Linked DNA regions of Zea mays. The main gene of each other region encodes a partner of the protein of the gene in region 4 in a complex. Links are inferred from orthologs where the notes say so. Each region holds a gene or a part of one and is shown on either strand. Other genes may lie near its edges. The genes, in order: mediator of RNA polymerase II transcription subunit 18, mediator of RNA polymerase II transcription subunit 8, Probable mediator of RNA polymerase II transcription subunit 19b, mediator of RNA polymerase II transcription subunit 25, Mediator of RNA polymerase II transcription subunit 32-like, uncharacterized protein LOC100276155 and mediator of RNA polymerase II transcription subunit 14.

Evidence for each region.
Region 1: mediator of RNA polymerase II transcription subunit 25 (region 4) and mediator of RNA polymerase II transcription subunit 18 share a complex: the UniProt entries of both Arabidopsis thaliana proteins name them as parts of the mediator complex. The link is inferred for Zea mays from reciprocal best matches to the Arabidopsis thaliana genes PFT1 and AT2G22370.
Region 2: mediator of RNA polymerase II transcription subunit 25 (region 4) and mediator of RNA polymerase II transcription subunit 8 share a complex: the UniProt entries of both Arabidopsis thaliana proteins name them as parts of the mediator complex. The link is inferred for Zea mays from reciprocal best matches to the Arabidopsis thaliana genes PFT1 and MED8.
Region 3: mediator of RNA polymerase II transcription subunit 25 (region 4) and Probable mediator of RNA polymerase II transcription subunit 19b share a complex: the UniProt entries of both Arabidopsis thaliana proteins name them as parts of the mediator complex. The link is inferred for Zea mays from reciprocal best matches to the Arabidopsis thaliana genes PFT1 and AT5G19480.
Region 5: mediator of RNA polymerase II transcription subunit 25 (region 4) and Mediator of RNA polymerase II transcription subunit 32-like share a complex: the UniProt entries of both Arabidopsis thaliana proteins name them as parts of the mediator complex. The link is inferred for Zea mays from reciprocal best matches to the Arabidopsis thaliana genes PFT1 and MED32.
Region 6: mediator of RNA polymerase II transcription subunit 25 (region 4) and uncharacterized protein LOC100276155 share a complex: the UniProt entries of both Arabidopsis thaliana proteins name them as parts of the mediator complex. The link is inferred for Zea mays from reciprocal best matches to the Arabidopsis thaliana genes PFT1 and MED9.
Region 7: mediator of RNA polymerase II transcription subunit 25 (region 4) and mediator of RNA polymerase II transcription subunit 14 share a complex: the UniProt entries of both Arabidopsis thaliana proteins name them as parts of the mediator complex. The link is inferred for Zea mays from reciprocal best matches to the Arabidopsis thaliana genes PFT1 and SWP.

Annotation. Positions count from the first base shown.
Region 1 is NC_050100.1:126,532,858-126,536,849, forward strand, and holds mediator of RNA polymerase II transcription subunit 18, read right to left. Parts: upstream 2,801-3,992; 5' UTR 2,411-2,800; intron 2,217-2,410; 5' UTR 2,207-2,216; coding exon 2,171-2,206; intron 1,404-2,170; coding exon 1,304-1,403; intron 1,231-1,303; coding exon 1,173-1,230; intron 1,105-1,172; coding exon 748-1,104; intron 646-747; coding exon 543-645; 3' UTR 279-542; downstream 1-278. UniProt on the Arabidopsis thaliana protein: Component of the Mediator complex, a coactivator involved in the regulated transcription of nearly all RNA polymerase II-dependent genes.
Region 2 is NC_050102.1:151,797,348-151,800,847, reverse strand, and holds part of mediator of RNA polymerase II transcription subunit 8, read left to right. Parts: coding exon 1-149; intron 150-3,500. UniProt on the Arabidopsis thaliana protein: Component of the Mediator complex, a coactivator involved in the regulated transcription of nearly all RNA polymerase II-dependent genes.
Region 3 is NC_050096.1:177,736,204-177,740,353, reverse strand, and holds the start of Probable mediator of RNA polymerase II transcription subunit 19b, read right to left. Parts: upstream 2,801-4,150; 5' UTR 2,573-2,800; intron 418-2,572; 5' UTR 381-417; coding exon 350-380; intron 1-349. UniProt on the Arabidopsis thaliana protein: Component of the Mediator complex, a coactivator involved in the regulated transcription of nearly all RNA polymerase II-dependent genes.
Region 4 is NC_050097.1:178,589,898-178,592,069, reverse strand, and holds the end of mediator of RNA polymerase II transcription subunit 25, read left to right. Parts: intron 1-532; coding exon 533-619; intron 620-692; coding exon 693-1,352; 3' UTR 1,353-1,672; downstream 1,673-2,172. UniProt on the Arabidopsis thaliana protein: Component of the Mediator complex, a coactivator involved in the regulated transcription of nearly all RNA polymerase II-dependent genes.
Region 5 is NC_050101.1:142,578,410-142,582,098, forward strand, and holds Mediator of RNA polymerase II transcription subunit 32-like, read right to left. Parts: upstream 2,520-3,689; 5' UTR 2,401-2,519; coding exon 1,957-2,400; intron 714-1,956; 3' UTR 501-713; downstream 1-500. UniProt on the Arabidopsis thaliana protein: Component of the Mediator complex, a coactivator involved in the regulated transcription of nearly all RNA polymerase II-dependent genes.
Region 6 is NC_050097.1:1,837,529-1,841,584, reverse strand, and holds the start of uncharacterized protein LOC100276155, read left to right. Parts: upstream 1-1,256; 5' UTR 1,257-1,421; intron 1,422-1,572; 5' UTR 1,573-1,607; coding exon 1,608-1,868; intron 1,869-2,501; coding exon 2,502-2,564; intron 2,565-3,039; coding exon 3,040-3,120; intron 3,121-4,056. UniProt on the Arabidopsis thaliana protein: Component of the Mediator complex, a coactivator involved in the regulated transcription of nearly all RNA polymerase II-dependent genes.
Region 7 is NC_050097.1:176,292,247-176,295,863, reverse strand, and holds the end of mediator of RNA polymerase II transcription subunit 14, read left to right. Parts: intron 1-297; coding exon 298-1,343; intron 1,344-1,819; coding exon 1,820-2,618; 3' UTR 2,619-3,117; downstream 3,118-3,617. UniProt on the Arabidopsis thaliana protein: Component of the Mediator complex, a coactivator involved in the regulated transcription of nearly all RNA polymerase II-dependent genes.

The DNA.
Region 1 (3,992 bases), on a different chromosome or scaffold from region 4:
CAATCTTAAGTGTCATACTAATCTCCTGTCAACGTCTCGACCGATGGGTGCATCAATGACTTTTTAATGGGTGGTCTTTCCACAAAGGACATGCCACTAATATTGATAATGTTTACCATACGGATTTTGCATATCATAATGATATTTGTCGTTCCGTTTATATATTTCATACAATTTTTTTACTTCCGTCGCAACGCACGGGCACTCACCTAGTTGAAAAATATATACACATGAGATAAACTTCTTTTTGAGAAAAGAAATTATGGTTTGGATTTTTGAGAAATTTTAATATTGGTAATACTAGATTGTTACACCCTGCAACTACAAGGCAGGGCATTACCCATCAGCAATCATGCAACCAGTCAAACCAAGAGCAAGGTTGGCACAACGATGTGTCAGACATGGACAACACTAGCAGGCAAAACTGACTGCTCAAATGCTCGGCACGAAGAAGGCCACCTCATTAGCCACGCCCACTCATCTCAAAGAACGGACTTTGGCTGTCCTAGCAGCAAGAACGGACTTTGGCTGTCCTAGCAGCATTACAAGGTTTTGCCACCGCCACTTGACATGAGTGAGGCAGCAGCAGCGGCTGCTGTTGGAACGATTCCTGTCGAGTGTCCTGGTTTTGACAGATGCAGCAGCCTGCAGCAGATTTCCAAGGATTATTAAAACCAAAAAGGTGTTTGGTTCATTCTTATATGTTTTCTGATTGTTGCCTCGGAATTCAAGCTTTGGGGTACTTACGGGGCAAGATATTCACAGAACGCAGTGACAGCTGAAACAACATCATTGTAATTATCAGCAGCAGCAGGAGCTGTGATTTCCACTAGCTGTATGGCAGGAGTGACTGGCGTAGCTTCATCGGTTGCATGGAGCCTTGACATCTTGTTAGCAGATGTAACAGTGACAGTGATTTGGGCACCTCGGTGGAAACGAAATGCAAAACCGCTCTTCAAGAGTTCATGGTCTAGCTTGTACCCTAGGGTGTAGAAGTAGTGCAAGACGTTCTTGCTAGCTTTGCTCTCCACAACTGTACGAACCAGAACTGAGATTTGCTCCGCACCAGCACCTCTCATGGCACCACCAACATGTCTTATGGTCCTACAATCTTGTCACAATTAATGATAAACATAACAAAAGGTAGACTTTCAGCAGCTTGTCTCGGTTACCAGGATGGTGTGGGCTGAGCTAAGTCACACAACAAACGAACCTCCGATGGGACAACACCTGTATGATTGCAAGACGTCAGTTAATACGCCACATGTGTAGGAATGGAGGAGTAGACTAATCACAAACTAACCTAGATTGGGCCCACTTTTAAGGCAGAGCTCATGCACCCTAAAACGCTCTTTCGGGACACCAGAGAGTCCCTGGAGTAGAACCTCAAGAGCATCGACATGCTGCAAAATGGAAAGATCAAACAAAGGTTAAACTAATGGCAGAGCAGTACAACAAAGAGCAACTTACATTCTGTGCACAACACATAAACTAGAACATACCAAAAAATTAAGTTCCTCTCTATTGTAAAAGCACAAGGATAGATCATATGTTCCCCCAACTGTATATTAAATGTTACTATTCTGTTAACATGCTGAGAAGAAAAAAAACAAATGAAATCAAAAGCTCCAGAAGTAGTGCCTTAAAGCGCGGAATAAATTGTTGACATTTAGTGGTCTACATGATCTATCTATTTATCACTTCAATAAAATAAACTTTTGTTAGTATTTATCTGTGATGGAGTAAACAGAAAAGTGACCACCAACTGGCAACTATGGATAGTGGCCATACCTAAGGGAGCTCAACTGAACACTAAAATGAAGCTAGATTGTATGGTGCGTAAGCTCAACATTGTGCACTGTACATGTACATCAATATGAGATTGTTTTGTCCACAGCAACGGAATTCAATTAGTAACGAAATGTTCAACAACAAATTCAATACTATAAGTATATACTTACAAATAGATATTAACAATCTATACACCATTCAAAATACTTATCAAATCTAGATGCAAGCAGTGAGAGGAAAAGTTAATGTCTGATCTGCATAACAAAATAGACTGCACTAACGATGATGAAAGAGCTCCTATCTTTCAAATGTTAGTGGAATGCGTGAAAATCAAATTTTACATAAACCATCAGTGCCAACTTGCATTGTGGCACAATACCTGGTTCTCGATGATTCCCTGCACCACGCACTCCATCGATCTTCTACTGTCCCACAATGATTTTGCACCCAAAAAAAAAGAATCACGTTAGTGGATTTGTTATATGTGTATCAGGGGTGGACCAGTATGGCAGTAAAAAACAAAATTAGAAGTTAGTAGACATCAAATAGTTAGGTTAGAGTTCGGGAACTCGTTTTCGCACAGCGGGTAGAGAGAAGAAGGGGGTGGGAGTGGGAATACATTGAGAGCGTTCTTCGCCAGCGAATAGATCAGCGAAGGGCGTGGTGCCTATGGTGGCGACTGCGGTAGCCCGTCCAGTCGTCGCAAAGAGAGAGAGAGAGAGAGAGCGCGCGCGCACGCGGTGTGAAGGTGACGGATGCGGCAGCGGCGGCGGCGGCTGTAGCCCAGCTAGGGCCTGATCTGGGAAGAGGGAGGCTCGATAGGACTGAGGCACTGTCGGCGGTGCGAGCCGTGCGGCGCAGCGTCGACAGGAACAATGGTGGACGCGACGCGAGGAGGGAGACGGGAACGACCGGACGAGGGAGCCAGGCAGTGGACGGCTGGGCTTGAGCAGGGAGGTGGGCTTGAGCTGGGAGAGTTCACAGTCTCGTTTGGAATGATCCAAATTTCGTTTCGTTGACTAATCTTTTATTTTTTATATTGTTATATTTTGAATCAAATCCATTTAAAACGGACTGAAATTTGTTTTTTTGGTTAATAGCGAAAACGAAAAAAGTATCAAAATTTGGTGATCTCGGACAGAAAAGATAAACCGTGGGCTTGAGTCAGGATTGTTCAGCCTAGTCGCGGTGCGGGGGTTGTTCAGCCTTATTTGTCACTTTTTTTATTTTAATTTTGATAAGACCTAATAGGTTACTCTAGATATGTTATCACTTTACCTTTTTATTCCTAAATCACTTGATAGTTTTACTATTTCTTTACATGGTTTTGGGTTAATATTTCATTATATCCATGTTCCAATTATTTTGTTATTTTATTTTTATTCATGTCAAGATTATTATCTTTAATTGGAACATAGAGCTTAACTTGAGAAACATGTGTCACCACAAGAGAGGAATGAGACCCCTTGACTAACTAATTAGGAAAGCTAGTGGAAAACTACCTTACCCGAAAGGGGCAACGGCAGTAAGAGAGTTACATGCAGAGAGGTTCTCGGTTGATTTTGCTGCGATGGCGGTCAGACGGGGGATTCTTGCAAGTCGAAATCTAGTGGAACTTTATAAAGGCCTCGTAGTGTTGCCCTGTCTCGCTTCCTTGGTAGAGGTGTATGAGAGTCGCGATCCCTTGGTAGATGGGTAACATTACTTGTGGATACAGGGTACAGCCTCTGTAGAGTGTAAAACTGGTATACTAGCCGAGCTCATGGTCATGAGCAGCTCAGAACTGTCGCATGATTAATTAATGGAACTTAAATTCAATTTGTCATTTGCATTGCATGTGATTACTTATTAATTTTGTTCTATTATTTATTATGGTTTGGTATTTACTTACACTTAGTAACTGCTAATAAAATTTTGACCAACTTATAAAAGCAATGCTCAGCTTCAACCTTTATTTTGTTGATCAGCCTTACACTTCACATGAACTCTCACCTTTGGTGAGTTCATGCACACTAGTTTCCCCACAACTTGTTGAGCTATGATCATATGTGAGCTCACCCTTTCTGTCTCACACCCCCATAGGAGAAGAACAGGTGGTTCAGGAGGAGGCACACAATGAGGAGTTTGATCTAATCTAGGTGGCATCTCCCAGTTGACTTATTGGCGCTAAAGATGGATTTTAGTTCGATTTATATTTATCT
Region 2 (3,500 bases), on a different chromosome or scaffold from region 4:
CTAACTCTCCTAGGTCAGGCACCAATATGATGAATACCCCTTCCCCCCAGCAACATCTAACACCACAACAACAGAGGCAAAAACTGATGCAACATTCTCAACCGCTTCACCAGCCGGTGAGGCCATCAGCTGCTGGGATGCTAGCACAGGTAAAGATAGGTTTACATTTGGGGCTTTGGATGTGTTTTAGTTTTATAGATTTTCTGTAGTATGTGTTTCCCTTCTTGATCCTGTTCTAGTTGGAGAGTGAGAATATGAGAAACCCTAACCCTAATCAGGGTTGGGAGTGTATATGTATAGCTGAGTGTTGTGGGCCAAGGCCCATTACAATAGAGGTATACACATAAACGTAAACAACATTCTAACACCCCCGCAGTCTCAACTCTATTCTGTACAAATGTTGAGACTGGATCGAAACTCGGCGAAAACACTCGACGGTAACCCCTTGGTGAAGATGTTGGCGAACTACAACGTAGTGGGGACGCTGAGAACCTGAACGTCACCGGCAGTGACACGCTCGTGGACGAAATGCAAGTCGATCTCCACGTGCTTCGTGCGCTGATGCTACACGAGATTGGTGGAGAGGTAGACCGCGCTGACGTTGTCGCAGTAGACGAGTGTGGCGCGTTGAAGGGGGCTGTGGAGCTCCTGGAGAAGCTGGCGCAGCCAGGAGGCCTCTGCCACGCCGTTGGCCACAGCGCGGTACTCGGTCCCTGCGCTAGAGCGGGAGACAACGGGCTGCCGCTTGGCGGCCCAGGGGACGAGGTTGGCGCCTAGGAACACGACATAACCGGAAGTGGACCACCATGTATCGGGACAACCAGCCCAGTCAGCGTCGTTGTAGACCACAAGCTCCGACGTCGCAGGGGGGGGGGGGTAGAAGACAGTATTCGAGGGAGCTGCGGAGGTAGCGCAGGATCCGCTTGAGAGCGGTGAGATGGGGCTCCCGCGGGGTGCGCATATGTAGGCACACCTGTTGGAGGATGTAGGCGATGTCGGGCCTGGAGAAGGTCAAGTACTGGAGCGTGCCGGTCAGGCTCTAGTAGGATGTCATGTCGGCGACCGGGGGCCCGTCGTCCTCAGAGAGCTTCGCCTGAGTGTCGACAGGCGTGGAGCAGGGCTTGCAGTAGAACATGCCAGCCCGCTCCAGGATGTCGATGGCGTACTGGCGCTGGTGGAGGAAGAGACCTTGAGGCCAGCGCTTGGCGGTGACGTCGAGGAAGTGGTGAATAGGCCCCAGGTTCTTCATCGCGAACTCTGTGAGCACAATGTCGTCGACGTAGAGCAGAAGGTAGACGGTGTCGTCGCGGCGCTGATAGATGAACAAGGACGTGTCCGACTTGGCCTCGACGAAGCCGATGAAGGCCAAGTAAGAGGCAAAGCGACTGTACCATGCCGTGGCGCTTGCTTGAGGCCATACAAGGAGCGGTTCAGTTGGCAGACTAGATCCGGATGAGCGGCGTCGACGAAGCTGGTGGGCTGGCTATAGTAGATAGTCTCCGTCAGAGTGTTGTGGAGGAATGCATTCTTGATGTCGAGATGATGGATCGCCCAACCCCGGGAGAGGGCGAGAGAGAGAACGGCTCGAACAATGGTGAACTTGACGACAGAGCTAAATGTCTCGTTGTAGTCCACTCCGGGACGCTGGGTGAAGCCTCGAAGCACTCAACTGGCCTTCTAGCCGTCGAGGGAGCCATCCGAGGTCAGCTTGTGGTGAAAAATTCACTTGCCGGTGACCACGTTGGTTCCCGGTGGACGCGACACCAGGTCCCAGGTGTGGTTGGCCAGCAAGGCCGCGTACTCCTCCATAGCGCGACGCCAGTGGGGGTCGACGAGGCTGGTGCGAACGGAGGAGGGGACTAGGGAGGCATCGGTATCCCTTGTGGTTAGGGGAGTAACCGAGGATAAGACAACAAATGGAGGGGGGCTTGTGAGGAGAAGTGGCAGAGGTGTTGGGATAGCAGGCACAACCAAAGACTCAGAGATGAGAATAGGAGGGGGTCATGCCATACAAGGAGAAGTGGGGGGTGGGGTGACTCACCACCTTTGAGGGAAGGCGGTTGAGGAGATTAGTAGCAGTGTTCAGGGCCTCTGCCCAATAGCAGGCGGGAAGAGACGCCTGAAATAGGAGGCAACGGATCATGTTAGTGGTGGTGCGAATAATCCGTTCGGCCCGACGGTTCTGAGGGGAAGTGTACGGGCACAAGAGGCACAATTGAACGCCATGAAAGAGAAAGGTGCGAGAGGCGGAGTTATCGAACTCGCAGCCATTATCGCACTGGAGGGCACGAACCGGGCGACGGAACTGGGTGGAGACGCAGGCGAATAAATGTGTGGAGAACCAGGCGAAGAAATGGGTGAGGGTGTGAAAGGTGTCGGACTTAAGCCGTAGAGGAAAGGTCCAGAGAAAGTGGGAATGGGATAAATCATCCAAGATGACAAGATAGTATTTGTAACCAGAGAGGCTAAGGACGAGAGAGGTCCAGAGATCACAATGAACAAGATCAAAGGCTTGGGCAGCCCTGGACGTGGAAGAGGAAAAAAGGAAGACTAGAGTGACGACCGAGCTGACAAGCATGATAGAGATGCTCAGAGAAACCCCGACGACAGGAGATATCTGAGCGTCTAGAGAGCTGGGACATCACATCTGGTCCAGGGTGCCCGAGGCGACGATGCCAATCGGTGGAGGTGGTGGTAGTAGCAAGAGCATGGGGGGAGGATACGCTGGTGGGGGAAGTGGATGGCAAGTGAATAGAGTAGAGGGGGAAGGAGCTGCCATAACGAGCGAGCACGACATGAGAACGAAGGTGTCGTATGGTGAGCCCCTAGGGATCGAACTCTATAGAATAGCGGTTGTCATCGGTGAAGCAACGAACCGAGAGAAGGGGATGTGAGTCAAATGGGGAGCAACAAGAACGTCGTTAAGGTAGAAGGGTCCCGGGAGAATCGATGCACCTACTGAGGTGATCGGAAGGGTGGCACCATTCCCCACCACGGTAGAGGAAGGATGTGAGGGGTGTGGAGGATGGTAGTGGGATAACGAGCTAGTGGTAGAAGTGGTATGGAAGGAGGCTCTGGAGTCGACCACCCAATCAGTGGGAGAGGGAGGGGGTGGTGAAGGCACGGGGTGCGAGGAGAGAGCCAGGGGAGGTGCCCCTAGAAGGTCACCGGGATGGGGGCTGGAGTCGGGGGCCTTGAACATCAGGGATGCAACAATAGCAGGGGGAAGACAAGCGGGCCAGTGACATGACAGCCTGGCTGAGGGTGGAGGTCGACGCAGTCACGAAGAATAAGGTGCATGGCCCGATCAAAGGCCACAAAGGTGCCCCGAATAATCTGACCATCGTGAAGGGTGACACGCACATCGGTCATGGTGACACCGGGCAAAGGCAGGAAAGAGGTGGCATTGGCGGACAAGGCAAAGGTAGGGCCCCCGGTGGCAGGAGGGACACCATGGAGAACTGGGGTAGTGAGTCGACACGGCGGCGGGGAGGCCGAGA
Region 3 (4,150 bases), on a different chromosome or scaffold from region 4:
ATTTTAACAATTTCATCTCTGAAAATTGCTTGTCCACCAAATAAATATTTAGAGTGAAATGAACCACAGGGGGGGGGGGGGGGTAAACTTCCCCATATTCCCATTTGGGTCCATGAACTCTCAAAGTAATCAGCTAGGTCCTCCGGCTTTTCAAGTGATTCGTTTGAAGTGTAAATTCAAGTCCATGGTTGGACCTAGAGTGACCATAAAATGAACCACTTGAAAAGTTGAAGGATCCGGATGATAAATTTCAGAGTTCATGGGCTTAGATGACAATGCAGAAATAGTTTAAGGACCCGTGGACCGTGGTGCATTTCATTCATTTATGTGAGTCTTAGTCAAACCCTACCATTTCCAAACTTCTTGTCATCAGGGTCCATCAGATTGCAGCTTGAGCTATGCAAAGAGCATCTTCACCTGAAGTTCGATTACAAAAAAAATGTAACGACAAATGTGCAAAGGTAAAGTGAACTGGTTCTGCAATGAACAAACACGATATACACTACTACATATCTACACCAGTGTTATTAAAACTACGTTTAAACGATGTTTAAACTACGTTTAAACGTCAAAACTCTAATTAGAGGTTGAAACAACGTTTTAGCGTTTTGGCGTTCTAAACTCTAAAACGCAGTGTTTTTATGCATTTTAGACCATTAGCTACTTTTGGGCCCAGTCTATTAGTTACTTTTGAAGTTCAATCCAGCTCATGGGTGAAGTTTTGGTAAGCCACTAACCTCTCTATTTTGGTATTTAACTTCATATTATTGTCTGAAATTATGATGTATTGGTATTTTTCCTGTGTTGTTTAAAACTACGTTTAAACAAAGTTTAAACGTTTAAGAGTCAAAATTTCACCCATGAGCGTTCAACGTTTTACCGTTTTAATAACCTTGATCTACACACCACATAGGCCTGTTAAATCCCATGGCCAAGCAAACATCGATAAGACAATTCATAACCATATATGGTGTCAACATCAAAAGTAATGAACATGTTTTGCCTGTCTTATTTGAAATAATATGGAATTACATATCAATTATCACGTGTAAAGTGTTGTGATTTTAGCAAATCATGCGTGGGAGTTAACATGTATGTTTGTTTTGTAGATATGTCTGTGTGTGTACTGCGACTTTAGCAAATCAAACATGTCTGTGGGATTCCACTCACTCACACCCAACCAACCTCGTGTACAGTTACTAGTGATAAAGGGGAGAAACTGCCAAGCACCATAAATCCACAAGTGGCAAAAAAAAAGAGCACTCGAGAGAGAACACACCTACATAAAGGATCACTGACCAATACAAAATGATTCTGACAATGTACGTAGGATACCAGGCAATCATAACTACTACGACCAGAACCCAGCATCGCAACCAATGGCAATAGGCAGGAAGCAGAGGCGGATAGAGCTCCTGGGCAGGGCAGGCGTGTGCCCGGGCTCTGGTTTGTGCCGGTGCTGCACATCGAGTAGGTTCGTGCATAGGTGGATCAAGTGATGCCACTTCTGCACGGGATCAAGTGGACATCAACAGCTTGTTGATCTGTCTCCTCGTGGGTCTGCTTCTGATCATGGACTTACGGTCCAGACCTAGGAAAAGACCGTGGCCCAAACGTGACATGCAAATTACGTGACGCTCCCAGCCCAACACTGCTATCGTTTCTCAATTTCTCAATCTAAACTTATGTAATGTGCATTTTTGTTCTTATTAACTAATTATAGTATTGTAGCGTTATTACTTGTTAGTCCGGAAGATTTAGACTGTTCAATATTTTTTTATATTGACATCAAGTGATTGGGACATGAAGCCTTGTTACAAATATGTGACTATCCTCCTCAAATTGTAGACCGAATTAGAAGATCATACATATTGAAGGACCAATCCAGCCTATTATGAATTATGATATATTATCTATCGTTACATCTCGGAATGCAAACCATTTAATATCTTCTATTTTTGTGAACACTTTTTTGTTATCTCTTTATAGTTTATTTTAAATGTTTGCATACGTATTAGGTAATACATTCAGAAAAATATTTGTCGGCGTCAAACAAATTTATGCATGTCATTGTATATATGCAGTTGTTCGTAGTTATTGGTTGGTCATAGACTAGCCTAGGCTCTTTATGAATCCTGGATCCGCAACTGGCAGGAAGCATGGCTAGAAGCTCAGTTGCAACACATGAACTCAGTTGGTCCAGAAACAACCCCTGGAACAGCAGTGTGTCCAAGACAGCCCCTCCCCCTGGAAACACCAGTGTATCCGGGATGCAGGGCATGGGGATCGAGTCGGGGCACTGATTATAGAGAACACCCGTGCAGCCAGCCAGGATGCACCGAAGGCAGATAAAGTGAGCCTGCCCGGCTGCGCCTGCACGCTGGATACTACGAGCCTAATCAGTAATCACATTAGAGGCGGGTGGAGCACTCGAGCGCGCTAAGTAGGGGAGCACCGCAGCAGCGCCACGAAGCGGGCGCGCCTGAGTGACCGGAGGTTATTAGGGTTCTCAATTCAAACTGCCGCAGCAGTGAGGAAGCCCCGCACACCGGAGCAAGCTTGGGTAACTCACCGACATAGGGCGGAACGATCTCGTGGCGGGGACAGGTCTACGCGCCAGTCCAGTTGCAGTAGAGGGCGAGGGCCGGGCCGGGCCGGGCCGGGGACGACGCCTCCCGACGGCGGGGTTAAGGTGGGTGGCGGGGCTGAGCCCCTGCGCGGTGTGGCCCGTCCGTCGCTGGCAGCGAGAACCGCGGCGGCGGTTGGGTAGCGGGCGGGCAAAAAAGGGGAAGTGGGAAAGGAAGGATCGGGAACCCCTACGACCCCCGCACTTGCCCAGATGTGGCTTCTTCTCCATTTTTCCAAAAGAATTTTAGAAATAAAATTGAAATTCGGATGTTATTATTTATCATATTCTAACTTGAATATTATTATAAATATTATCATATACAAATAATTTTAACTAGAATACGAGTATAAATACTACTTTATCCATTCTTTTTATTCTTTTTTATTTGTCATGTTTTAGTTTAAAAATAAACAAATCGACGACAAATATTCGAGAACGAAGGTAATATCAAATATAAATATAATAATATGAATATAAAATAAATAGTTTAAATTTAAGTTTCCATCTTGGAACATAGTGTCGCAATATATAATAATTTTGTTTCATCGACGAATTTATAGTCAATAAAAATTTATATTTCAAGTAAATTATAACTATATTGTATGTATATATATATATATGTTATAAGCATATATGATTAATAAATGAAGATATATTCTTTAGCAATGAAAATAAATACATTAATGCATATAGATATAACGTATTTATTACATAGGTAATCTAATGTGATTATAATTAGTCTTTTAAAATTAAATTAAATTTATCATTGTGTAGTATTCTGAATAATGTACATATTTTTTTCTGGTAGCGTTTTTAAAATTAAAATCATTTGTTGTTAGTGATAATAATACATTTTAAATGGTTTCGTCGATTTTTTTTTTACGAGTATAGATAGTGTTGGATATTCCACGGTTTCGTTGAATACAAATCTATAGTTGGTTAGAGAAAAATATTGAAAGTTGAATTCCCATACATATATTTGATATCTATATTAAAATCGAATGCGAAAATTGACGAGTACCAAGGAACCGAGTATCTTAAGGAGACCTCATCGAGCAACCAGCAAGGCGGGATGGACGACCAAGGCCCCCATCGAACAAACCAGTGAGACGGGACGGACGACCAAGACCTGTCGAGCAACCCAACGAAGCGGGACGGATGGTCAAGTCCCCGCCGAGCAACCCAGCGAGACGGAACGGACGCCTGCGTCTCTGACGACCAAACCCGCAAAAGGAAAGGGCTGACCCGTGTCGGTGTTTGTTACCCGACCGCACACCATGGGGTAACCCTCGTGATGCTTTTAGGGCAGGACGGCGTCGTCGATCATGACTCGATGGTTCGTGCGGTGGCACGACAGGAGAAACACACAAGCTTGTTCAGGTTCGGGCCGCGCGAGAGGCGTAACACCCTACGTCCTGTGATGGTTTTGGTATTGGGATGAGATTACAAGTTGTGGACTTTGAGAATGGTGGGCTAAGGTGAGATGAAAATGGTAGGGGTACCTCTTGGCCTTATATACAC
Region 4 (2,172 bases):
TCGAACCGTGGCCCTCTTCTATAGATATTCTAAATATTGTGTTACACAGAGGATAAATATTGTAAATATATATACATACTAATACATTTAAATTTAAAAAAATATAATCATGCCACGTCGGACCGGGCCGGCACTATAGACTGAGACGGTGGCTCAGGCACGACATGGTTCTCAGGTCGGGCCGCGGTACTGTTAAATGGGCCGTGCCTTGGGTCAGTCTGCTAGACACGACCTATTTGGCTATCTATAGTACAATACCTTCTTTCTCACTATCTCTGATCTCGTGAGCGTGGAAAAAAGCGAGAGAAAAAACTTCATCTCATCTCACCACACATCCGGTTTAGACCGTGTTTGAATAAATATCTTATTTAAATAAGATTTATCTTTATGATATATAAAAACCGTAGCAACGCACGGACAACTAACCAGTAATTTTGTTATTTTGCTGCGGTTCATCTACTGTCGTTTCATACACTTAGTTTTCTGTCAGTTACTTTATACAGTTCTAATATCCAATTGGTCCTGGTTTCAGTGTGCTGTGATACAGTTACCATCGCAAACTCTGTTGCTGTCGATGGCTGACAAAGCAGGTCGTTTGATTGGCATGCTCTTCCCTGGGGTAATCTTGATTGTAGTTAAATTAATTAATGTTCTGCATAATTATCTGCATTTACTAAATGACCTTTTCCCAGGACATGGTGGTGTTCAAACCGCAGGCCTCAACTCAGCAGACACCAATGCAGCAACAGCAGCTACAGCAATTTCAACAGCAGCAGCAGCAGCTGCAACAACACATGCATATGCAGCCGCAAGGCCTCCCACTTCAGCAATCACAGATGCAACTCCAGCAACAGCAGCCGCAGATGCAACCGATGCAGCAGCAGCAACCTTCGCAGATGCAGCAGCAGATGCAATCGATGCAGCAGCAGATGCAGCCAATGCAGCAGCAAATGCAGCATCAACAGCAACAGATGCAGCATCAACAGCAACAGATGCAGCAAATGCAGCAGCAGCAGCAGCAACAACAACAACAACAACAACAGATACAGCCTCAGCAGCAACAGATGCAGCAAATGCAGCAGCAGCAGCAGCAACAGATGCAGCCTCAACAGCAACAGATGCAGCAAATGCAGCAGCAGCAGCAACAGATGCAGCCTCAACAGCAACAGATGCAGCAAATGCAGCAGCAGCAGCAACAGATGCAGCCTCAACAGCAGCAGCAACCCCAGATGGTGGGTACAGGAATGGGGCAGCAGTTCATGCAGGGGCACAATCGGGCAGTGCAGATGATGCAAGGGAAGATTACGCCACAGGGGCCGGGCAGCATGCCTGGGGGAGGCTTCCTACCTTAAGCACCTTTTATCAGCAGGCATCAGATGAATTGAGGGTTTACACTGACCCAAGTGTTGAGATGTCAACTTCATTTGACAGGGTTAGGGAATAGTCACTCGGGGAGTGTTGCTAAAACTTAATCTGAAAACTTAAGCATCCCTGTCACCGATAGGTAAATGCCAGATGTCCATGCATAGGTGCATACTTTATGATATGGTGGTGTACTCGTAATCTTGAGTGACTTTATGGCATTGTTGTACTAGCCGTAAACTATTAGGTATAACAGAATTATTATTTAAACTACAGTAAAATAAGTGACCTGTGTTGTTTAGGGTTTAAATGGTACGTTAAATAGGTAGTTGAATCATTTAAGCAGTTTAAACTGTCTAAACGATTTACATTGAATCGAGCTAAACATGATTAAATAAGCTAAACAACCATTTAATTCATACTTTATTCAATATTAGCATGATTAAATAAGCTAAACAATCATTTAATTCGTCGTTTAGTCAATATTAGCAAAATTGTTTGTTGCAATAGGAATGTAAGTAAAATAGACTGATGCATAAATTTTAGTATTTGATGATTAACATAATCATTTGAACTAATATTGCTTGCTAGTATTTTAAGTAACATTATTTATTAGTATTTATAGATATAGTTTAAAGGATGCAAAGTGTATTTGAATGAAGATAAATTGGTGGTATAAATGATCAAAACCTCAAGCAAGACATTGAAAAACGTGTTGAAGACCTTTTATAAGAATATGTAGATGCATCCGAATTGAACACAAAGATCATAAAAAACTAAGAGAACACTTTGAGCATATATTGGACTATA
Region 5 (3,689 bases), on a different chromosome or scaffold from region 4:
GTTCCAGGTCTTAATATATTCTTAAATTAATCGACCAGATACTCAGATCCTTTTCTCACATGATACGGAGTAGTATCATTCAGCATGTTACATTTATCAAAGTCCGGTATACTTATGGAGCTAATATTTTATCTAGCTCTATTTTCTGAATTTGGCATTGGTTACAACCTTTAAAGTTTCTGTACAGATTATCTCATTTCAGCTCTATTTTTTAGGTACACTGCTTATATTGAGTCAGTGGCCAAATTTTAACAATCAGTTGTGGTCTTAATCCATGTTACTGTTGTTGGTATGATAATGCACTTTGCTCACCATATCATCTATGTTTTTGGTATGATAATGCGTTAACGCGTCTTAATCCATGTTGGATGTAAACGCATGTTTTTTCTGCTAATGCTTCCTCTGTCCCAAATTATAAAACATTTTGGCATTTCTAGGTTCATAGCTTTTGCGTATCTATACATAATATATTTCTAGGTGTGTAGCAAAAACTATTGATCTAGAAAAGCCAAAAAATCTTATAATTAGAAATGGAGGGAGTAGTTCATAGTCCTCAGCCAATTCTCTTGAGTGCAGCCATCAAATTGTGAAATTGTACTTTGTCTACAGATCCTATAATATCGATACAAACAGATTATGACATCTCCACATTTCTGCTTACTTCCAATAGTTTATCAGCATACTGTCATGTAGCATAGTCAAATCTTTTTTTTCTGCACATAATAGATTAACATACATTTGAGATACAGTGATGGGCATATCTGGTTTCTTGGTAACCATCTTACTAAATTACTGTTCAATTCAGTTCGTGCTTTTGTGAAAATGACTAGTGAATATACTCTGAGAACAATGAAAACCAGTACTGCTTTGTTAACTCAAATATCATGAATCTGTAGGGACCATAGCAGTGGTGAATAAAACTTTGGATCTATAGAACGATAAAGGAACTAAGGTGCTGTTTGGTTTATATGTTTGTAATGTAATAGGTAACAAATAACGTTAAATCATGTTTGTTTAAGTCCAACTGTAATTGGATACCACACTACAAATTGATACCAGCCTATTCAAACTTGTTACCCCTGGTAATCGAATGCAAATCATTACCGTTACCATTTACGTTACATTTTAGGAACCAAACGGCACCTAATTTAAGTCGTGAGTTCGAAGCTCATCCCTTTCCTAGACCCCACTCGTGTGAGAGCCTCCAGCACTGGATCAGCCCTTTTTTAGTTTTTTTGTCTATCTCAAACCAGGGATCCCAAGTTCCCAACCTTATCTCTTCACTCAACAAAAGAGTTGACTCAAAATCAAAAACTGCAACAACCAATCCCCATACACTGGCTGGTCCAAACAGGTACAGACTTAAAACTGGCGCAGCATTATACCCCCAGGTTTTTTTTTTCTGGTCATCATGTAATTAGATCTATATACCTCTCATGCTTTGTCACGACACTATAATTTTTTTTTATGGAGAGCAGCATTTTAGCAATCTGTGTAAAGATTGGGCAATAACCAATGGGCATAAAGACATTAATGCTGAGTAGTAGTATATCTCAAAATGGAAAGGTAAAAACAACAGCCAGCAAATCGCAATGATTTAGGTGCTGTTTGGTTCAAAAAATGTAACGCAAATGGTAATGGTAATAGTTTACGCTCGATTACTGGCGGTAACAAATTTGAATAGGCTGGTATCAAATTTTAGTACGGTATCTGATTACGGTTGGACTATAACAAACATGATTTAACGTTATCCATTACCCATTACGTTACAAATATATGAACCAAACGGCACCTTAGTTCATGTTCTTGCAAATATCAACACGCAAGGTTAATGCTGTCACTCATAGAAACACAGCAACGACAAGTTCTTTGTTTTCTATTGAAGGAAAAATGCTACAATTTTCATATGAGAAGGGCGATGCTACTAGTTTAATTCAGTAACTCCATAGTCCATACCTACTGGGCACCCTCCTCCGGGTGTTGCCCTCCAGCGCCGGCATTTGGGGTAGCGGCACCGCCACTGCCGCCGGTCCCTTGAGCAGAGGCGCCGTGCTGGAGCTCGATGACGAGCCATCGGACGGCCTTGCTCATCTGCTCGAGGCGGACGGCGCTGATGGGCTTGATGCCGGGGGCGGCAACGGATCCGGCGGAGGCGGACCCCGTGGCCTCGTCGACGAGGCACTCGGAGCCGATGCGCTGGCGGATGGACTCGACGAGCTCTTCGGCGTGGTCGCAGGCGACGCGGAAGATCTCCCAGCGCTGCTTGAAGGCCTCGAGCGCGGCGTCCGTGGCCGCCGTCTTCTTCTCGCCGCCCGACTGTACGCGGGCCTCCACCACAGCCGCCGCCGCCGCCATGAAGTCGTCGTACGCCGCGCTCAGGTGGTCCACAGTCGCCTCCATCCCTCCCTCACCCCCAGCTTCTGACGATCCAATTCGGCCTCAGCCCCCAATTCGACACGACGACCCCGAAACCGAAAGCAAAGCGTGAAAACAGGAAATGCCGAAATGGCCCAATCGATATCGGGTCGAGATCAGGATGGGCCTTTTTATTCGACATACGCATCTGGACCAGGGCTAGAGATTGTAGGCATGGATTTTTTTCTAAAAAAATAATATTGTTTTCCCAGACCGTATAGTAAATAAATTCTAAAAATTACATTATTGGACGCGTGTTGTTGGGAAGCTCGCGATCAATCGTGCGGACAGAACGTAGGAAGTGGCGGATCCAGAGCTACTATACGTGGTCTTTTTTTTACAAGACTCTCGTTTATCCTAATTGTTTTAGAATTAGAATCATCTTTCTTCTGGTTCTTGATGAAAAATTTATCCATCCTATTCTTATAAGCATGGGATTACTACCAAATAAATAATCAAATCAAAATTTCAAATCAAACTTAAAGCAAACAATAGCACATGTTTCACCTTCACTGCTTGTCTGCTTCACAGATCACAGCTTCACCTTCGTTGCTTCTGCTTCGCAGTTCGCATGGGACGTCCTATTCCTGCATGATCTGTCACAGATTAGCAGAAACTCTCTTGGCCTCCTATTCCTTCATCGTCCCAAACTCCCAACAGAACAAGGAACCCCCAACAGAAAGCTTGGAGGGGCATTGGCACACGCCGCACACCGCGCATGGCATTATGGCAAGGCCATACATCACTGGCTGTCTGGCTCATCACTCCAATGCAAGAACAAGCTAATAGCTAAGCACACTTTCTTCTCAGCGCGTGTGTACAAACCTGAGCTCCACGAATTAGCAGAAGGAGGGAGCGCGGAGTGGCGGCTGGACAGCGGCGTGGTCAAGGCGGTGCTCCGGGCGGGGCTAGCGGCGGTGTTCCGGCGGTCCGGCCTCCGGGCGAGCGACGCTGCGGGTTGCAGCGGTGCTCCGGGCGTCGGGGCGTGGGCGGTTGGAGGCCTGAAGCTCGTGGGTAGAGGGAGGAGGAGCGACCTACGACTGGGAGGCTGTTCACGCGGTCGCGCGGCTGGAGCTGATGGGCTTATTCGCTGATTTTTGGGCCGCGACCGGGCTGCAGCCCAGGCAGCCCCAGCCTCGGTTGGAGATCCGCCACTGAATGTAGGAAGAGCTGAGTGGTGTGTTGGCTTACTGCTACGATTGTCCCTATTGATTGTGACTCTGATTAGATAGTTCTAGACATGTCATCTGGCTTGACATGTAACCAAATGGGTG
Region 6 (4,056 bases), about 180 Mb from region 4:
TCACTGTAGAGGCTCCAGTGCTGAGGTTTTTTCTATGACTGGGTTGACTGACCCCACATGGCAGTGGGGATACGCCTTAGAGCGTACGTGGTGGCGTTCAGTCGTGTCGATAGTGACCTCCTGGCGCCCCTTCGGTACGTTGCACATATGTCCGGACGTGGGTTGATGATGACGCGTCTTGTCGTAGCCATCACGGGTTAATAGCGTTAGGTTGGGACCTCCGCCTCGTATGGTTGCCCAATTTGGAGTTGGTCGACCGCTCCTCCTCAAAGGGTTGCTCAGTGGGGAGTTGGTCGGCTGCTCTGCTTTGCGAGGTTGCTCGTCGATGAGTTGGTCAGCCGCTCTGCCTCTCGACGAGGAATTGGTCGTTCGCTCCATCTTGCAAACTTGCTCGACGGAGGACTTGGTCGTCCGCTCCGCCTCGTAGGCTTGCTTGGCAGAGGGTTGGTCGGCTAATGGGCCGGAAGGAGGTTGTGGGCTTACTTTTGGTTACCCTGTTCCTAGGTACATGACAATTTACATAGTAGAGTTCTATTTGGTAGAGCTCTTTTAATGGCCCCTCAACAGCTTCTTCAAAAAGGCTACCAAATGGTGGGCTCCTCTCGTGGCTTCTCCATAAAAATAGGAAGGAGATGTCCCTAAAAACCGAGGAAAGCCCAGAGCCTAAAAAGGAGGCTTCTCTGACTCGACTCTCTCTTGTCACTCACCCTCCCATGAAAATAGGAGTAGTTGTGTTTTAACTAAATAGAGTGTTCTCCAAGGGTTACTAAAAATAAGGATCAAACTATTTTTTTCAGATGAGCCAGAAGGAAAGCCGGTGATGCAAAAATCCTACCAAAAGGGAGCCTCAGAAGAGTCAACCCACTTTATAATAGTACACATATTCAAGTTTTAAAATTATATATAACCTTAAAAATCATCTATATATTTTGAGCTTTTAAAGTGGGCTAACACGAACCCTACTAGATGTTAGTGTCGGCATGACATGATTAGACACTATAGTGCCGTGTCTAGACAATAGTACTAACACATCACGACACATTTACTAATAGTGTCTAATAACACCATTAATGCTGGACAGACAATCTATTTAGCCATCTATAGATGAATAAGGTTAAAAAACACTATCTATCTCCTCTCGTATCTAATATCTATCCACTATTTCAACTCCAACGCTACAAACAAAGGTATGACTATCGTACAACAACAGTTCTTTAGACGGCCATATCAGCTGGACACAGCCACCGTACTCCGAGATTAGCGCCCCCGTCGGCCAAACAGTACCGGACTGGCCGCCGTTCACAGTTCACGCCCCGCGTGGTCCCTATTTCCCGGCGAGCACTAGGCTACCGCCGCCGCCGTCAGGTGCCGGTGCCCAGACCTTCGTCGTGCCCATTTCACCGGCGACGAGCACCCACTAGGTATGCCCGTCCCTCCTCTCCCCTATCTGCTTTGCGAAACCGAGCACTCAAAACCTAGCTTAAGAATCGGATCTGATTCAGGAGTAATTGCAAGTATATGCATGTATTATTATGCCTACTAAATTACTAATAACTTCGATTTTTCCAATAGCCCCTGCCCGCAGGTGTTGGGAACTGGGGATAGAGATGGATCACCACCACCCGCAGCAGCAGCAGCAGCAGTACGGCGATCCTTACCGTGGGCTCATGACGTCCCCGCAGCCCGACCACCACCTCCACGCTCTTCAGTACCATCAGCCGCAGCCGCAGCAACAGCCGGCGCTTATGTCTCCACCGCAGCCACAGCCAGCACTGATGTCTCCACAGCCGCAGCAGACACTGATGTCTCCACCGCAGCCGCAGCAGCATCACCACGCCTCTCTTGCCTCCCACTTCCACCTCCTACATGTAAGTAACGGAGTGTTTGGAGTTGTGTGGAGTTTTGTGTTTTGGGGGCCTTTGCTCTTAGTTTAAGATAGCATAGATGATACATACCCTCAAATGAACCCTTCTTTTTGTAGTGATGTCATTGATGTTGTTGGAGTGTGCCCTTTGTGCACCGGAATTTCAAAATTCTGAACTTGGGATTTTGCTAGTCATTAAAGATTGTCATTAATTTGTCCTGTATTTGTTGCTCAGCGATTGCAATTTCTTCACACCATGATTTGTCACTTTGGCCGGTAGTGAAGATTGCCATATTATAGGTGTACATGAACGATATACAAGCGTCAGAGCGTGCAACATTGGTAATGGCCAGAGAAAATGTTGATTCTAATCACTCGAGTTGGTTTGACAAGAAATACATAAATTAAAAATATATATGAGGGCACTTTAGGTATTGTAGGTTTTCTTAAGCTGGCAATCACATGTCTGTATTGGCATCTAACATTTAGGCTTATTTCCAATGGCTTTTTTGCAAGTAGCAAATCTTTGTTTCCACTTTTATGATGGCTCTTCTTCCTTTTACTCTTTGAGAAAGTACTAGAATGTATTGTGAAATACTGATAGTTTTCTTCTTTGCATAATTTTGTTCTCTGTTAGTTGGTTACAAGATTAGCCGATGCTATTGGTACAGGAACAAGGGACCAAAATTTCGATGCACTGGTAAGAATCACCATTTACTAATTTTCATTTGTTTTATGGATCAATGTTCTTGTACTCATAGTGCATGATCTTGTCAGAAACAATAGTTGTAGCTTCTTCTAGGCGTGGAGCCTGAATATTCTTATACAGAGTTTGAATTGACATGTGATGTAATTCTTAAATCACTTCCCAGAGAAGAGACAGGTCACAAACAATGCTCTAGTGTTGGTGGTGCACAGGAAGCTTGGGACCAGCCCAGGGTGACAGGGTCTGCACGGTTCAGTTTTCCATAGCCAAAACCAAGCCAGTGGAAGACATACCCTTAGTTATGCAATTATGCAATTGCAGAAGCATGTTAAAATTACTACTATGTATTGTGTACTTCCATGCTGATTTCTTATAGAATACCAGCTAAACACCATATTTTTCCCAGCGTTTTGCTAAATCCTAATTCCAATAGCTACTGTATTAAGAGAAGCTTTTTATATATATCTAGGTTGAAGAATTGACCAGCCAGTTTGCTAGGTGCCAACAATTGTTGAACTCCATATCGGGAACAATAAGCTCAAAGTCTACTGTAAGTTCTGTTACTTCTCTTTCCTGACTCATATGCTTTATTCTTAGTGGTCTTCTGAATTTGATAATAATTACTAAGTTAAATTGAACTATTCTGGCTAATGAATCTCAATTACTTTGTTTTGGTATCCAATAAAATTTTCAATTGCACAAGAATTAAGAATTTTTTCCAGAAATGGATAATAAGACGGGGTATAGTAGATCTGTTGCAGGTTTTTGTGTTGTCTCATAAAATGTCTATAAATATTCATGTCTCTAGGCAAATCCTTTTAAAAAGTTAATTCACATTTATTTAAACATCAACAGGAGCATTGCCATATTATATAGAAGGCATGGGACTAAAAGGCTTTCTTTGGGACTGCCCCAACTTGATTGGAGCTAAAAGGCTTTGTTGTTGCCAGAAGCACTAGCATATCATATAAGAACTCAAATGTGCACGGTGCACACATGTTGTCCTCATGCTCAAACACGGATGAGGCTGCCCAAGCAGTCTTGGAACGTGCCTACTGAGCAACTCACACACATAGAGGCTTAGTCCCCTCTGATGAAAATCCCGTGTGACACCTGAGTCGCCCCAGTCAGGGATCAAACTCGGGTAGTAGCGCTCGCACGGTCGCACCGAGCGGCCTTAGTGCCTTACCACTGACTTACTGAGCCATTGTTTTGTTTTCTAATTCACAATTATTAGTTGTTAAGAGTGTCTAAAGTTTGGCTAGTTTTGGCAGTTTTTACTGCTGGGTTACTAGTACGTAATAACTGATGTTACTAGCCAGTAGGGACTGTCGGTTTAGTGGAGACCGGCATGAGCTGCCTTCCTTAAAAAGCCCTAGTTTTCCAGTTGATACCGGTGTCAGTGCTGTCATTACGATCTACAATATTTAGAACCATTTTAATAGACCTAATATTGCTAATTTTATATGTTGTATGGTGCTGGTTA
Region 7 (3,617 bases), about 2.3 Mb from region 4:
AATAATGGATCAATATTTCATAGTCTGGAAGTATAAATGAGTGCTGGCGTTTTTGTTGTTTCACTGTACATTCCTGTGATCTGCTTTGCTGGCAGTGGCAGATGGGTCATTATCATTCCAATTGGCTTCCATCAATTCACTAGTATCTGTTGATAAATAGGTGAAACCGAGTACAAAAGCTTATGCTTTCTGCTTAAGCAGAAAGTTTCTGTGAGATTGCTCAATCATCTTGCTTTTTGCAATAAAGCTTACCTTTATTTGCCAGCTATCTCATAATCAATATTTGCAAAAATGCAGTTTCTGGAGGATTTCGTGAATGGTGGAGAGGTAGCATCCTTCTTGGATTGCATTCGGCTTACAGCAGGACCATTACTTGCCCTTGGAGGTGCAATTCGTCCTGCAAGGATGCCTGTTGCTGTCTCATCTGGATATAGCTCTATGCCAAAACAGCCGAACATCCCCACACAAGGGCCTTTAGTAAATGGTTCATCTTCAACTATACATCACGCACCTGGCCCCTCAAATGCTGCATCTGCCCATTTAGGCAGTCATAACCTTCATGCTGCTGCCATGCTTTCAGCTGTTGGACGCGGTGGACCTGGGCTTGTTCCCAGTTCATTACTGCCTTTTGATGTTTCGGTTGTACTTCGTGGGCCATACTGGATACGCATTATATATCGCAAGAAATTTTCTGTTGACATGCGCTGCTTTGCTGGGGATCAGGTTTGGCTCCAGCCAGCTACTCCTCCTAAAGGTGGACCTTCAGTTGGTGGATCGTTGCCATGCCCACAGTTCCGGCCTTTCATAATGGAACATGTTGCTCAGGGTCTAAATGCTCTTGAACCCAACTTCATGAATGCTACACAGGCTAGTGGACACTTAAATAACAATGCAGGAGTTCCACAAACTGCTCCTAGTGCAAATCGTTTAAATGCTACCCCTGGTGTTTCTATGGTCAGGCCAACATCTGGTGTTGCTAACCATGTAGCAGCCAGTTTGAGTCGAGCAGGAAATGCCATGTTGGCTTCTTCGGCTCTTGCTTCTGGTATTAGTGGAACTTCTGTGCGACTTACTGCTGGAGCTGGTCTCCCTGTTCACATGAAAGGTGAACTAAACACAGCTTTCATAGGACTGGGGGATGACGGTGGATATGGTGGTGGCTGGGTTCCTTTGGCAGCTCTTAAAAAGGTGCTGAGAGGGATCCTAAAGTACCTAGGAGTTCTATGGTTGTTTGCACAATTGCCTGAACTTTTGAAAGAAATACTAGGATCAATCTTAAAGGACAATGAAGGTGCTCTCTTGAATTTGGATCAAGAGCAGCCTGCACTCCGGTTCTATGTCGGGTAAGAAAATATAAACTGGCAAGTATCCCTTGTTTTCTAGCATCATATTTAAAGTAAATGCTATTCATTTTTTTTTGGCTGCGCAATTAAGATTGAGGATCTACATGAAAGTATCCTTAATTTTCTATTGTGCATGGAAGCTTTGGTGCTTAGCGCTATTGAGTTCCCTGACCTTCTTTTGGAAATAGTACTTTGTTTATATCTGCTGCTCTTCGGATTATATATTCATTCATCTATTACATGTTACTAGTGTGCGTCAAATATTTACTGATTCCTTAAGACTATACTTAATTGTTTACTGAATATAAGTGGTGTTCTTTTATTTAATTTGATGCTATCAGCTCATAATTGGTTGAGCTTAGGCTAGCCTTATAAGATGAAAAATTGGTGTTCAAAATGACTCATCTTGTTTTTCCTGAGTTGAGTATTTTCATTTGGGATTGCTAGTAAATTGGTACCTGATTTCATAATTGCAGAGGATATGTATTTGCAGTAAGTGTACATCGGGTTCAACTGCTTCTACAAGTTTTGAGTGTGAAAAGATTTCACCACCAGCAACAGCAGCAGCAGGCTCAAAGCAATGCTCAGGAAGAGCTAGCAGCAGTTGAAATCAATGAAATATGTGACTACTTTAGCAGACGTGTTGCCTCCGAACCATATGATGCTTCTAGAGTTGCTTCTTTTATCACTTTGCTTACATTACCAATTTTGGTTCTGCGCGAGTTTTTAAAGCTGATTACATGGAAGAAAGGTCTTTCCCCGGTTCATGGGGACATTGCTACTGCACAGAGGGCTCGCATCGAGCTTTGTTTGGAGAATCACTCAGGATCAGCTTCGTCTGATAACACCGAGAACAGCAGTTTAGCCAAGAGTAATATTCATCATGATAGAGCCCACAGTTCAGTAGAATTTGCCCTGACATTTGTACTTGACCATGCTCTTATTCCTCACATGAATGTAGCTGGAGGAGCTGCCTGGCTTCCATATTGTGTATCTGTGAAACTTCGCTATTCTTTTGGGGACAACAATCATATAGCTTTCCTTGCTATGAATGGGAGCCATGGTGGGAGAGCCTGCTGGTTGCAGTTTGAGGAGTGGGAAAGATGTAAGCAGAAGGTTTCAAGAGCTGTGGAAACTGTGAATGGGTCTGGTGTAGCTGGAGAGGTAGGCCAAGGAAGGCTGCGAATGGTTGCAGAGATGATCCAAAAGCAGCTTCAACTCTGTCTACAACAGCTAAGAGATGACCCACTTTCTGCAGGCTCGACTGCATCATGAACTTGCTTGGAATGAGCTCTATCAAGGCCATTGATGTCTGTCATATTCAGCATGGCCTTTGGCTTTGTTAACGTGTAGATGTGAAGGAATACACATTTGGTAGCAGTGACAGTTTCGCCTGAGGCTTGCTCAGATGACAATTTTGTACAGTATAAATGGTGGCGGTTGACTCTGATGGACCTTTAGTTAGCCCATTTGAACGTGGCCTGTAACATAGCTAGGGTGGGTAATAATGTGCCAAGGTGGAATTGCTCAGGGATGCAAAATGATCTTCGGGAATTGGTTGTCTGTATCATCTACTGTAATCGTGTCCTTTTTCTCCCTTTCTGATGGATAGTTCATTTTTGGATTCGTTATCATCTTTCTTCTGTCTGTACTATGTTAATCTAGACATTGGTGGATCTGGTATATGTGTTGTTGTACATGATATATTGGCACTGGACTTGAGACTGACGCATTTGACGTCTTAGTATTAGCAGGACATCTCTAGTTGTGTTCAGAGTGATTGGACACAAAAAATATTGCTTGGAGCTTTTCTTTAGGGCTAGTTTGGGAACTTAAATCTCGACCCCATAGATTCCTGGAGAAGATTTGAGTTCCCAAACTAGTTCTTAATGTTTCTTTTTTTTTTCTATTGCATCTTCTTAGTAAATGATGTTTTTGTAACTGTAAAAACCGTGCCGGTCAAGATTGATACCTGGATGGATAAGATGATGTTGGGTCAGATTTCTTGCTCATGGTTAGGAAATTGATGTGAGCACTCTGGCCAGTTTGTTTGAAACTGATATTCGTGAGTTGTGATTGGAAGCGTATGGATAGGCTTTTTAATCGTGTTAACCGTCATACGGGTAGGCCTTTTTAGTTCTCGTGCTTCTACGTTTGGGACACAGGTGTCAGTTTTTGTGCTTTAATGGACTCCATAGGTATCACGTGAAGCTGACATAAGTTACTTATTATCTTCATTTTACTCTATCTTCTCGTGAGAGGAAAAAAAGGGTT